Callithrix jacchus: one gene and its partner. The protein of the gene in region 1 interacts with the protein of each later gene in a pairwise test. Links are inferred from orthologs where the notes say so. Each region holds a gene or a part of one and is shown on either strand. Other genes may lie near its edges.

Evidence for each region.
Region 2: the proteins of FATE1 (region 1) and AGTRAP interact in binary tests that used the Homo sapiens proteins (3 or more experiments, as listed by UniProt). The two-hybrid records come from large-scale screens. The link is inferred for Callithrix jacchus from reciprocal best matches to the Homo sapiens genes FATE1 and AGTRAP.

The regions. Positions count from the first base shown.
Region 1 is NC_133524.1:148,012,248-148,019,642, forward strand, and holds the start of FATE1 (fetal and adult testis-expressed transcript protein), read left to right. Parts: upstream 1-2,532; 5' UTR 2,533-2,614; coding exon 2,615-2,723; intron 2,724-3,718; coding exon 3,719-3,846; intron 3,847-7,395. UniProt on the Homo sapiens protein: Involved in the regulation of endoplasmic reticulum (ER)-mitochondria coupling. Negatively regulates the ER-mitochondria distance and Ca(2+) transfer from ER to mitochondria possibly implicating it in the regulation of apoptosis.
Region 2 is NC_133508.1:49,616,088-49,623,374, forward strand, and holds the start of AGTRAP (type-1 angiotensin II receptor-associated protein), read left to right. Parts: upstream 1-3,314; 5' UTR 3,315-3,347; coding exon 3,348-3,374; intron 3,375-7,287. UniProt on the Homo sapiens protein: Appears to be a negative regulator of type-1 angiotensin II receptor-mediated signaling by regulating receptor internalization as well as mechanism of receptor desensitization such as phosphorylation.

The sequences.
Region 1 (7,395 bases):
TAGACACACCTACAAGCCAGATGTCTTCTGGACCCTTCCTTCCCCTATAAAGAAGCATCTGTCGAATCTCTGGGTGAGCAGAGCCTTCCGCTGGAGTGTTAGGGCTCTGCAGCCTGTCATGTGCACTTGGCCACGTGCCATCTTCCTGGACCCAGGCACCATGTAATATCTGAAAGGTCTCCTCCGTATCCCAGGAGCTCTAGTCCTGCGGGACCCTGCGGTTAGCACCCAGACTGTGGGGTGGGGGACTTTTCAGAATGGTTGGAGCGTGAATTGAGGGCCATGTCAAAAGGAGATTACCACATAGATTATAATTATGAAATTATAAATAGCTAACATGCTAAGAGACAAGTTCAAAGGCACACAGCAAACTCTCTCTCACCTCCAAGTTGTCCTTGGCACTCAATCCAAGAAAGGCAGGCATGCTAAGGTAGTGAGGTGTTGGGGTTTCTGAGTGGCATTGGGGATGCAGGGATTGGGAAGAAAGTCTCTCACCCTTTTTGCTTGGCTTTAGGTGGTGGATTCCTATGCCACCAGGGGGCAGTGCCTCCACATGAGCCTGTGCCCTGTGCCTCTGTTCCCCTGTGCCCAAGAAGCCCCACCAGACCAAGGCCAGTTGGCAGCTAGACAGAAATCTGGCCTCCATAGCCCAAGGCCCTGTGGCAAGCCAGCTTTGCTGACTTCTCAGTACTCCTCACCATCCAGCCACCCTATAGGGAGGGGATTGTTAGCCCCATTGGCCATGGGGGAGACTGAGACCCAAAGAAGGAGAGACTTGCAAAAGGGAAAACCTGGAGGTGATAGTGAGATAGAATTGTCAGATAGACTACAGGATATGCAGCTACATTTTAATGTCAGATCAACCTAGAATCATTTTTTAGAGTAAATATGTCCCAAAGGTTAGTGTACAAGAGAGCATACTTACACTAAAAATGATGTGCTTTTTACCTGAAATTTAAATGTACTTTGTACCTGTACTTTCATTTGCTCAATATGGCAAACGTGACTGGGCTTCCCAGGCTCCTAAATCCCACTGAACTGAGCACCCTCCACAGTTTCTCTGCTTCCAAGGTGGCCCTCCAGAAAGCTCAAATTTCATTGCAGCTGCTCCACTGGAGCTGAGAAGGGCTTCTTTGGGGCCCCCAGGAATGCAGGCAGGGACTACATCAGCTCTGCTTCCCAAGAGCTCGGCCCCAGCACTGGACAGGTGAGATGGGGGCAGGGGGCAGTCAGTCTCAGACCAAGCAGCCCTATCTCAGCTAGTCCTGGCCCCTTCTTCTCTGTTTCCCTCCCTCCCTCCCTTTCTACCTATCTCCCTTCCTCCCTTCCTCCCTCCCTCTTTTCCTCCTTTCTTCCACCTCTTCCTCCCACTTGGCCCAGGGACTCTGGGGGAAGAGGAGGCTATTTGGAAAAGGAACCAGGACAGGTTTATAAAGGATTCCTTTTACAAATAGCCTCCTATTACCCCAGGGGCTCTGGGGTTGTTTCCTAAATGAAGGGTTCAGCATTGGTGGTTGTAGCAATCAGGGTTTTCAGAGAAACAGAGCTGATAGGATATATGTATGTATGTATGTATGTATGTATGTATGTATGTATGTATCTACATATGCACAAATATAGAGAAATTTATTTTAAGAAATTGGCTTATGTGACTGTGGGCCTCACAAGTCTGAAATGTACAGGACAGGCCGGCAGGCAGGAGACTCAGGCAAGAGTTGACCCTGCAGTCTTGGGGTTGAAATGCCTCTTCTCTGGAAACCTCAGTCTTTGCTCTTCAGGCCTCTCAGTTGATTGCGTGAGACCCACCCACATCATCGAGGATGAGTCTCTACTTTATTTCAAGTCCACTGGTTGTAGATGCCAATCACAGCTACAAATTGCCTCATCAGCAACACCTACACGGTGTTTGATGGAATCACCAGGGGCAAGTGCCTGGCCCAGGTGACTCATAAACCTGACCATCACAGTGGTCTAGTCAGTAGGTAAGCTGAGGGAGAATTGGAACTTAGAAGGTGCAGGGCCTGAGGCCCTTGGGGTTCTAGTGGCTGCAGTCAGGTCACACCTCTTTCACCCTTCCCTCCTTTGGTTCTCATGGCTCCTGCCTAGGCTGACCGACTTCAGAAAAAGGCTGCCTCCTGTGTTTGGGGACTCTGGATATGGGAGGTAGGATATGCTCTCCAGAGAATCCCTTTTGAAGGCATGGTATGGCCTGGATTGCTAGGACCTAACTCTGCTGTGGCCACTGTGTGGCTCTTGGACCCTGTGCCAATCCTTGCATCTGCCTAGAAATGATGATGGGATCCCCCATGAGCTAAATCTGGAGATCCATGAGCCAGAGCAGTTCTCACAGGCAAAAGCTTGGAGTTGTATCTCTTCTAAGCTGCTTACAGAGTTGCAGGGGAGAACGCCATGGACCCAACCAATTAGATACAATGGGAACAGAAGGTACTCAGTCCAAGGCCTCAGCCTAGAGAGGGAGTGTCACTCCACCCCCAGGTCCTACTATATCTTCCTTGAGCTCCTGTCCCTGGAAGAGGCGATTTTCTGAGTGTGACTCCTCTGTTTCTGGCACCCTGCACATTTTTAGCCATTGCTTACAAGTGAACAGCTGGTTATGATGGCAGGAGGCCCTATCAGCACCAGGGAGGAGGTAGAAATATCCCTGGCTGAAGAACTGAATCATGGAAGCCAAGGGCAAAACCAAGAGCACCTGGGGATAGCAGGTGAGGATCCTCTAAAATACCACTTGGCTATAGCCAACTCTGTAGATACGTGTCTATACCTGTGCATGTGTGTGTTGGAAAAGGTGCATGTGTGCAAGGAAGTGTTTGCACATGTGTGTGTTGGGGAGCTTCGAGGATTTGTGGGTTGATGATAAGGGAGGTAGGGAAAAGGGAGCATTTTTCCTACTGTCTCCCACTTGTCCAAGCCACCACCATGTCTGTTGCAAAATACTCAGAGAGCTCAAATTACAAGATCAGAGATCAATTCTCTCTCCCAATGCTCTAATTCATTTCCCTGCCCTTCAGAGGAAAGTCCAAACTCCACAGTCTATAAGATAGTATCAGCCTCCTCAAAACATTTCATGCTATGATATAGACAGAAAATATCATTTCTATAGCTCACAAAAGGGCCAAGATCACACTGCATTTATGTTTGTTATTACAATGCTGCAAGCGTGCTTATTCCCCAAAGACCTTGCATTTGCTGTTTCTTCTGTCTGGAATGTGCTTTCCCTCAATTTCCCAGGGCTGGGTCCTTTATTTCTTTCAGGTCCCTGCTTCAGTTTTTGTCTCCTACTTTTTAGAGGGAGCCCTTTCCTTCTACTATGTTACCATGTTTTGATCGTTTATGGAGCCTGTGTCTCTCTGTCTGCATTTGCGAGGATAGATTACTTTCTGCTGTACACCTGTCATTCCCCCTTATACACAAACAGATGGTCAGTTCTTTGAGAGCTGGAATCTTGTTCTTGATCATTGCTTTCTAAGTGAATAGAGAGTAACCTAGTCTCGAGCTCAGCCATCAGGAAATGCTTGATTAACTTTTGAACAAATGAACAAACTGAGGCCTGGGATCAGCTGGTGGATAGTGTTGAACGGGTGTTGAGTGATTCCCGAGAAGGCTGTGGCCTCTGCCTTCTTTTATGCTGTGTTTCGTGTCCAAAAAGCCCTGGTATAACTTCTGTGGGTGCTCCTGAGGCCTCTGTTCTTCTCTCTAGAAGTGATGGATCATAGATCTCGGTCCCTCAGTGTCCCCCAGAAGAGGCAGAAGGTGGAATCAAAAGCTGCAGGCTCTGCTGAAGCCAAACCAGTTTGGAATATGACTGCCACCCGGCCCAAGAAAATGGTACTGTATGGGGTCCTCAGCATAAGGTGGCCAGGTTGGGATTGGGAGTACTGTTTGTAGGGGCTCTTGCCTCACCAGGTCAGTCAGGGCTAGACATTGACTTGGGAGGAAGAGAAAGCTCCTGTGTTCCGAGCTGGCAAATGAGGAAAGGAAGGTCCAGTTAAAGGTCACGGTCATCCTTTCCTATACTAGAGGTTCAACCTTGGGAGTTCGGAATTCTTGAAACAAATATTGCTTAGGGAGTAAATAAATACTTTACTTTGTAAATCTATTGCGTGAAATAATGCTTTCCTGTATTTAAAATTATGTGTGTGGTACACGTGTGTGTATACACACAATAAGTCAGGTGAGGCTCCTATCCTTTCTGGCTGTTAAGAAATCCAGTCAAGTGGCCTGGCATGGTGACTCATGCCTGTAATCCCAGCACTCTGAGAGGAGGAGATGGGCAGATCACTTGAGGCCAGGAGTTCGAGACCAGTCTGGCCAGTATGGTGAAACCCCCATCTCTATTAAAAATAAAAAAATTAGCTGGGCATGGTGGCACATGCCTGTAATCCCAGCTACTCAGGAGGCTGAGGCATGAGAATCGCTTGAACTCAGGAGGCAGAGGTTGCAATGAGCCAAAATCATGCTACTGCACTCCAGCCTGGGCAACAGAGAGAGACTCTGTAAAAAGAAAGAAGGGGGTGGGGGAGAGAGAGAGAGAGAGAAGAAGCAAGGAAGAAAGGAAGAAATCCAGTGAAGTGAATCTGACAATTTTGTAGCCAATGCTTTTAAGCTACATTCAATATGGGTGAAGAAATATTCTAGAACAAATAGTGGCTATACTGCTGCAAATGATATTGAGAAAAACAGTCATTTTGGAGGGAGAGGGAATTCTGACTCTTCTGGAGAATTAGGTGAGTTCCACAGTTCTGTAGCCAATCCTTTTAGCTAGCTACATTCACTGTGGGTAAGGGAAAGTTTTAGAAAAATTGATATGCTGTTGCAAAGGCTGCTGGGAAAAGGCAACAGGATTGGAGAGGGAGGGAGGACTGACTGCTCCAGGAAATAATGTGAGTCCCACGGTTCTGTGGCCAATTCTTTAAGCTACATTCACTGTGGATGTTGAATGTTCTAGAAAGATGCTGGCCACATTGTCGCAAAGGATACTGAAAAAGGCATTTATTTTGGAGAGAAGGGAGACCTGACTGCTTTAGGGAATCACAAATCCCATCTTTCTGTAGCCAATGCTTTTCACCACATTCAGGTTGGTGAGGAAAAATTAATAAAATTTTAGAAAATGGTGGTTTTTACTGTTACCACAGAAAAGTTTGGAAGTTACTGGGAAAGGGAGGGAGACTTGATTGCTGAAATGATTTGTTGGATGGCCCCAGGGAAGATTGAGAAAAAAGGCTTCCAGGTTTAAAGATTTCCTGGGAATAAAAATAGGTCAGATGTTGATCTGGCTTCCTGTGTCCAAAGACAGAAGCCAAATCAAGCTGCCCAGGAGGTCAGGCTCCGAGACTAGGGAGAATATCACCTCTGGTTTAATTAAAGCTGGTTATGAGGGCTAGAGGCAGACTGCCTGAAAATATACCCTTATACTGAATTTAGAAATTCAATTTAGAAATTTAGAATTAGGAAATCTAATTTATTTATTTATTTATTCCTTTATTTTTGAATAAAACAGCTGATGGAACTGCCTCTACGAGAACCATAATATGCAAAGGCGAGAAAAGTTAAAAATGCTTTCCTGATGACTCGGAAAAAGTAGTGTGCCTTTAAAGTTACATGGAAGTAAAAGTAACATTTTTGGAAATGATTAACAGAGAGAAACAAACAAACAAAATCCAGCCATTTCTATTTTTATTTTTTGCCTTCGAATCTCTCAAATATATTTTTTTATCCTTCTGATTCCAATTTATAGGAAAGTCAAGCGATTATAGTCATGGGGTCTCCCTAATACCCATTATATTTTTTCATGCTATTTTTGAAATATCTTAAGAAAATGAAATATTGTGATGGTGAACTACTATTCATAAAAACGTTCCATCAATATCTGTGTGCTCCTCTGGAGGAAGATTAATTTTGCGTTATTGCAACAGACGGAGTGTAGTGGTAAAATTCCTATGAAAACCCTTTACACAGAAATTGATCCACCTTCAGTTTGATGTCGTGACTTCAAAACAGAGAAGGGCTGCAGATCTTTCTCAGTGACCGGTGAGCCTCCGTTGTCTATTTTTTTGGAAGAATGAGGCAAATGGAAGGGCTAACCCAGGACTCTTCATGCCTCGGTCAGGCCTCTCAAAGGGCAGGTTCTACTTCAGCAGGATGAGTGGGTAAGGAACTGACTGTCATGTGAGGCACCCTGAACCCCGCCAGAATGAAGAGGGTTTTATTTTGTGTCACTTTCACCCCAGCTTTCTTATTCATTTGGTTCAGGTTTTGGCATGGGGTAAGTGCCTGGCTGCTTCATACACAGATCTTTACTTAAAGTCCCTGTTTTCTGCCCTTCCCTCCTTTCTTATGATATGCTGCCATTGTCCTTGCAGGTCTAGTTCCTCTCTGGATGCTGCTGGCTGGGCTCCCCTTGTCAGCTGAGCCCTATCTGCTTCCCATCCACACTGAGGCCTGGTTTCTCCATGGACACTTCCTGGACTCCACAATTTTATGGAATTCTTTCATTGGCTAAGGCCTCTCATGTTGTCTTAGTGTCTTCACTGGCACTTACTGTAGCCTTAACAGGAAGGAGTGTTACATATAAGAGACATCATATTGTAATGGTTAAGAGCATAACCTCTGGACTAAAATGTCCTGGGTTCAAATTACTGCTCTGCTACTTACTAGCTGTGTGTCTTGGACAAGTTAATTAATCTCTCTGTGTTTCATTTTCCCGTACTTTCAAAATGGAATGATAATGATATCATTTCACAGAGTCGTGCTGAGGAATCAATCACTTGTATTGGTAAGGACTTAGAGGATGGCGTGGTCCCTGGCATGTGGTGTGTGTTAAATAGGCAGCTTGTGAAATATTTCATCTTGAACTGGAAACCTAGAAGTATGACTTGAGGCCAGGCAGGTCTGGCACCAAAAGCCACTCTCTGTTCCTCTATCCCCTACTGACTTTTCAAAGGCATCAGATAGCCCTGGCCCAAGGCCTCTGGGCCATAGATGTACAAGCTAGGGTGTCATTGGCAGATGGATGAAAATGAAAGCCACAAGGATGGCTGGGCTTGCCCAGAGCAGTTGATGGTTTCCCAGTAGCCAGGGTTCTAGTCTTAGCCCTGACATCCTCGTGAAGTAAAGGCATCTCGCCAGGCCTCAATGGCCTGGGCTGCCAATTGAGGTTTTACATTCTCCTTCAGTAGGTTTCTCAGCCTCTCAGCTAATGTCTGCATGTGAAAGTTCTTGCAGATGACAGGGACCCCTGTTACTGCTCTTTTGCCGCAGCCTGCCTGGGTGAGGAAGAGCTACCAAGGACCACGGTGCATGTGGGATGGCAGCCAGCAGCCAATGTGTGGGGTTCCCAAGCTTTCCTAATGTCTTGAAGCTGCCAGCCCTTGATTC
Region 2 (7,287 bases), on another chromosome or scaffold:
CCATCCAGAGAAACCCTTTCTTCGGATCTGGAGTGACTTTGGGTCTTGATATATATATACACACATATATATGTGTGTGTGTGTGTATATATATATGTGTGTGTGTGTATAGATATATATGTGTATATATATATATTTTCTTTCTTTCTTTTTTCTTTTTGAGGTGGAGTCTTGCTCTGCTGCCTAGGCTGGAGTGCAGTGGCTCAATCTCGGCTCACTGCAATCTCCGCCTCCTGGGTTCAAGCAATTCTCCTGCCTAGGCCTCCCGAGTAGCTGTGATTACAGACGCCCACCACCACACCTGGCTAATTTTTGTATTTTTAGTAGAGACGGGGTTTCACCATGTGGGTCAGGCTGGTCTTGAACTCCTGACCTCATGATTTGCCCGCCTCAGCCTCCCATAATGCTGGGATCACAGGCATGAGCTCGGCATGTGCTTGGCCCGGGTCTTGATATTTTTTTTTTCGAGACGGAGTTTTGCTCTTGTTATCCAGACTGGAGTGCAACGGCACAATCTCGGCTCACCACAACCTCCGCCTTCTGGGTTCAAGCAATTCTCCTGCCTCAGCCTCCCAAGTAGCTGGAACTACAGGTGCACACCACCATGCCCAGCTAATTTTTGTATTTTTAGTAGAGATGGGGTTTCACCTTGTTGACCAGGATAGTCAACAAGAAAGGAAAAATATATATATATATATATATATATTTATCTCAATCTCTTGACCTCGTGATCCACCCACCTCGGACTCCCAAAGTGCTGGGATTATAGGCGTGAGCCACCACACCCGGCCCCAGGTCTTGATATTATACAAAGACTCACTCAGGCAGTTTTGTGGGTTCCCACCTGGTTTCCCCCATCCTAGGAAGAAGACCAAGCACTCAGGTATACCCTGAAGGTGTCCATACCCAGGTGACACTAAAAAAAACTGATGTTATCTAAAGGAAAGGTGATGTTGGGAAGGGCCTGGAGTTAGGGCGGATTAATTAATGTTCTTGTTGGGGTGTGGTGGGGGGCGCAGTGGTCAACAATCTTTAAGAGAAGGACTAGGTGAGGCACGAGACAGCCCTTTCCTTCCTCATGCACAATTAAGGGAGGAATTTCTTACAGTCTTTCAGCTAGAGTTTTCTAAAACTTTTGGTATGCTTATTAAAGTGGGCTCCCACCAATTTGGCTCCTCAGGTTTTTTTTGTTTTGTTTTGTTTTTTGAGCCAAGGTCTCACTCTCTCGCCCAGCTAGAGTGCAGTGGCATGATCTCAGCTCACTGCAGCCTCCCGGTTCAAGCGATTGTTGCGCCTCAGCCTCCCGAGTAGCTGGGACTACAGGCATGCGCCACCATGCCCTGCTAATTTTTGTATTTTTAGTAGAGACAGCATTTCACCATGTTGGCCAGGCTGGTCTCGAACCCCCGAGCTCAGGTGATCCGCCCGCCTTGGCCTCCCAAAGTGCTGGGATAACAGGCTTGAGCTACTTCGCTCAGCCTCCTTGTGTGTTGATAATAACAACAAAAGCTTGTGCGTCCTGCCCATTTACTAAGTGTCAGGCACTGTTCTCTCCTAGACCAAACTGTAGTTGCACTCCTCTGAGTCCTCCTCTTGACTAGCCCTCGACCTTGAACTTCTGTGTCTTCCTGTCCTTGCTGGGCCTGAGCCTGCATAGACCAGTTTCAGCAAGAGTCCTGCTAAGTTAGGGAGAAATCCCTGATCCTTGATGTCTCCTCTTAGGAATCTTCCATCCCCTGGCTCCCTCACTCTGCTCTTTAACAAATCCAACCTTGGTCCTTGTTGTATTCCGAGTTGAGCCCAAACCCTCACCCCACGGCAATCACCCTACTGCAGGGTCCAGCCCTATAGGGTTCTGTGAGCCTCTCCCAGCTGGTGCGAAGACGATAAACTGTAGAAATAAAAGACACAGAGATAGAGAAAAGAGAGTTTGAGCCCAGGGATCCACTGCTACCCAAATCGCAGAGATCACAAGTGGCCCCGAATGCCGGGACGCTTTCACTTTTATTGAGTTGCAAATCTGGGAGCAGGGTAGGTTGGGCGAGGTCTTGGTGGTCCGAGAGTGGGGGCAGGGTGGATAGGGCGTGGCAGTGATAGGGTCAAGTACGTCACTTGTCGTTCAGGTATGGCTGAGGAATTTCTGGCGCCCGAAGTGAAGTAAGGAGCATACTGCATCAGCGCCTTTTCCATACTTATCAAGAAAGAACTACAATATTAAGATTTATATTACTCTTACTGATTATCTTTTCTAAGAAAAAAGGAAACAGGAGCAGAAGTAGAACATGAGAGTAGCCATGGAACGTGATCACGGAAGCACAGCATCACATAGAAACAGTTAAGCCTCCGGATGTCTGCGGGCCTACCTGACAGCCGTCAGGCCTACCACAAGAGCTTGGAGAAGCGGAGTTTTCTCCAAACTTCCCCAGGAAGGAGACGTCTCAGCCATTTTGGGCATCTCCTTCCCTAGCTGGCTAAACAGCGGGCGCTTTCCCGGCGCTGGCGCTGCCGCACAGTCGCGGCGCCCTCCAGCAGCCCTTATACAGGCGTGATAGAGGGCTTAGAGCATCTTGCCTTAGTGTCATTCATTTCACAAGTCACCCCAGGTTCACACTTCCGACCTGAGAGGCATCAGCAAAAGAATTAAGATCACCTATAAATAACTAAGATCACATATGAATAACTAATAACTACTAGGGTTATATTTCTAGTTGCTTTCTTCTTCATTATTTATACGGAAATAGGCTGAGGCCTTTTGCTCCAGGCTTGGCGCTTATGGGATCTCCCCCCAACACCCCACAGCAAGTCTTCAACAGTACTGGTTTAACAATTGTCCCAATAACGTTTTCTTTAACAACAGTGGTTAGCTCATTTAATCCTCACAAGGATCACCTGAGGTAGGTATCCTAAATAACCCATTTACACAGGGAAGTGGGGAGGAGACAGGGTGCCCCCGGGGATGAGGCACAAGCTGTTTCCACATCAGCACTTCGCGCCTGGACGGTCCCCCAGTTGTCCTGGCTGCAGGTAGTCCCATCAGCCCGCCTCCTGGGATATTTGCCAGGCAGGAAACCTCCTGAGCGACAGAAACTCCAACTTTTGCCAGCGGCCTCCAGGTACTGCCTGGGCAGCGGCGGGAGCCTGGAGCCTGGGGGAAGGCGCTCGCTGCGGACGCCGTCTCCAAGCAACGGGCGGCGGTCACGTGACCCGCCCGAGCCCGCTTCACGTGGTCGCGAGCTGCGCTGGGGTTGGAGTCTCCGCAAAGGGCGGGGCGGGACCGGTGAAGTTTTTTCCCCTGGGGCCCAGGAGCCCCAGCTGCTGCCGCGCAGGTGCCCTCGGCCTGGGTCCGGATGGAGCTGCCTGCAGTGAACCTGAAGGTGGCGACGGGCGGGGCAGGGTCCCCTTTGCGGGAGGGGGTGGGACATTTGCATTTTCCAGGAAGGTGGGAGGACTGAGGGATGGGAGGGAGAAAGGGAAGGTACAGACCCCAGGAGAGAAGGAGGTGGGCAGGCAAGCCACAGCAGGAAGAAGGATCCAGGTACAGGCCAGCAGGGTGATGCAGAGCGGCCGTTGGACGTGGCAGGGCAGGGCTAGGGCTGTCCCCTCCCGGACTGAGACCCTCCAGCGGGCAGGGCCGGTCCCACGTGCTGTGGCCCACACGCCCAGAATTCCCCTGGAGGAGGAGGAGGAAGGCGGGCGGGAGGGGCTTGGAGGCGGCTCACCTCCCCGGCGTGAGTACAGGGGCTGGGCCTGTCCCCGGGTCCCAGCAGCGTCCCGGGAGCCTCCTCCTGTGCTAAATCGGGTTAAGGAAATCACATGTTCCCAAACAATTCGTTTTATAAAGTTTACACATCCAGCGCCCTTACTTCATAATCAAGAAGCACGAACCCCAACAGAAATTACTTAAAAGCAGAAAACCCCAACTTTGTGCACTTGGGAAAACTCTACAGAGCTTCCTGGGGTGTCTTCATTTCCCGAGCCCTGAGCTCAGCCGGGTCTTGGTGCCAGCGGCTGTTCTTTTTCTCCCCGCCCAGCCCCACCGCCCCCGTGTCTGGGCTCTGTTTGCGTTAGTGGGGCTAGGGGCTTTAACTTTGGTCAGGAAGCTGTGGACCTTGAGCCAAACCGGCCATTTTGGGTCTTAGTGCAGCCTCCTTTGAGGCAGTATCCGGGAATGTCCTCTTACTCATGAGTGACAAAGCATTTAGCACCCTGTTGGTGTCTGGGACTAAAGGAACCTGAGAGATAGATGGTTACAAAACAGTGGCTTAATACACGTTTATTATTATACAACATATGTGCTATGACTTGCATTGGACACGTTTCCCTTTTTTTTTTTTTGCGACTGAGTTTCACTGTTGTCGCCCAGGCTGGAGTGCAATGGCGTGATCTCAGCTCACTGCAACCTTCGCCTCCCAGGTTCAAGCGATTCTCCTGCCTCAGCCTCCCAAGTAGCTGGGATTACAGGCGCCCACTACCATGCCCGGCTAATTTTTGTATTTTTAGTAGAGATGGGGTTTCGTCATTTTGGCCAGGCTGGTCTTGAACTCCTGACCTCAGGTGATCCCCCTGCCTCAGCCTCCCACAGTGCTGAGATTACAGGCCTGAGCCACTGTGCCAGCTACATTTCCTTTCTTAATCATACACATGCTTCAGCAAACCTTCCTGAACGTCCAGTCAACAGCGGAGGGGAGAGATGGCTGGAGCAAGGGAATGGGTTTGCATAGAAAGTTCAGCTGGGAAGAAATTTACATGACAGCAACCTAGATTTGTTGGTATCAGTATTCACTCTATCCCAGGCAAGGTGGGGTTAACACCAACTGCCTTTTCTCTGATTAGGGATGTGCTTAAAATAATTGCTAAGAGAGGATCAGGTGAGATCGGTGGGAGAGACAGAGCTCTCATTTATGGGCGTCTGTGTTGTGCCAGGTTATTTATTTAATCAAGGTAACCTTATGAGAAAGCTGATACAGTCATCTTTTTACAGATTAGCAAACTTCAGCTCAGATTGGGTGACTTGCCAAGGTACCGCAGGGAGTAAGTGGCAGTGTCAGTATTTGAACTCACAGGGATCAGACTCCAGGGCCAGGTCCTTTCTGGGGTACCAGCTTACTCAGGGCTGACTTTGACCTCGGCTGTTTGTGTCCTTTGGGAGGGCTTAGTCTCTCTGAGGTTTTTTTTGAACAACTTTTTGGGCCTGACAGGCTGAGCATCCACAGGTATGAGCTATGCTGGCTTTCTGTATCCAGGATGAAAAGGCTGGTCCTTCCCTTGACTTGGCACATAAGACCCCCTGTCTCCAAGGGTCTTGGCCACTACCAGAGACAAGAAAGTGCTGGGAGGCCCTGAGGGATCAGGGTTGCCAGGTCATATATAGAATCTCCTATACATGACCAGGTGAACTTGAATTTCAGATCAACAACAATCAGATTTTTACTTTTATTATTTATTTATTTATTTTTTTGAGACGGAGTTTTGCTCTTGTTACCCAGGCTGGAGTGCAACGGCGCGATCTCAGCTCGCTGAAATCTCCGCCTCCTGGGTTCAGGCAATTCTCCTGCCTCAGCCTCCCGAGTAGCTGGGATTACAGGCACGCGCCACCATGCCCAGCTAATTTTTTTTTTTTTTTTTGTATTTTTAGTAGAGATGGGGTTTCACCATGTTGACCAGGATGGTCTCAATCTCTCGACCTCGTGATCCACCTGCCTCGGCCTCCCAAAGTGCTGGGATTACAGGCTTGAGCCACCATGCATGGCCCCCAATCAGATTTTTAATATGAGTATGTCTCAGGCAATATGTGGGACATATTAACCAATTATTCATGATCTGATGTTGGAAATTAACTGGGTGTTCTGTATTTTTTTTTGAGATGGAGTCTTGCTCTGTCACCCAGGCTAGAGTGCAGGGGTGCGATTTCAGCTCACTACAACCTCTGCCTCCCGGGTTCAAGCGATTCTCCTGCCTCAGCCTCCTGAGTAGCTGGGACTACAGACACACGCCACCATGCTCAGCTAATTTTTGTATTTTTAGTAGAGATCGTATTTCACCATGTTGGTCAGGCTGGTCTCAAATTCCTGACGTCATCATCTGCCCACCTTGGCCTCCCAGAGTGCTGGGATTACAGGTGTAAGCCACACCTTGCCCAGCCTGGTGTTCTGTATTTTTGTTTGCCGAATCTGGCCACACTGTGGAGGGCAGCTGTTGACTCCTTGCTTGCAGGCACTTAGGGGATGTTCTGAGATCAGAGCCCTTCAGGAGCTGGGGCACTGCTCCCCGTGGCCTGCACTCCCTCCCACTCTGTCATGTCATATATTTCTCAGTTAATGGCTGCATGCCTGCTTCTGCCCAGCTCAGCTAGAGTGGGCAGTGGTGCCAGGTGAGAATAAACAGCTGCCCCAGGCCCTTTGCTCAGAGAGCAGCCCCTGACCAAGCCCTGTCCATGCCTCCTGAAGTGAGGTCCTGAGCTGCAGGAATTCAGAGGTCTTGTGAGAAGAGGACCTTGGGAGGAGGATCCGGTGGTCTAGGAGGTAGTTTAGCATTGGGGTTAAGAACTCTGGAATGAGGACTGCTGGGATGGAGGTGACTTCCTGGCAGGCACTGTGTTGAGTGCTTCCCACGCCTCTCCACCTCCCTGTACCACTGGATCCACACAGCACCACTAAACCAGACATTATTACCCTGCTTTACAGAAGAGCAAACAGCTGTTCTGAGAGTCAGGTGATTTGCCCAAGGTCACTAGGTTTTTTGTTTTTGTTTTTTTTTTGAGACAGAATCTTGCCCTGTTGCCCACGTTGGAGTGCAATGGCACGATCTCAGCTCTCTGCAATCTCTGCCTCAGCCTTCTGAGTAACTGGTTACATGCTCATGCTACCATGCCCAGCTAACTTTTTTATCCTCAGTAGAGATGGGGTTTCACCATGTTGGCCAGGCTGATGTCGAACTCCTGACCTCATGTTCCACCTGCCTGGGCCTCCCAAAGTGCTGGGATTACAGGCATGAGCCACTGCGCCCGGCCCAAGGTCAGCAGGTTCTAAAGTCATGGAGCCAGTCAGATCCACCTGTTTGCCTCCAGTACCCATGAAGTTAACTGCTACATGACTCTGCATCCCATCTATGGCAGCCCTGACTGGTGTCCCTGGGCCCCAGCCACCCTGGGGGATCTCACTAGCACATGTAACAGGCCACCAAGTGTTTGCACAGGACTGGTAGTATATACCATTTCTGGGAAGTCCTACCCTGCTATGGGTCCTCTAGTGGCAAAGGGCACACGTCTTGGTGTGCATGGCCTGTTGT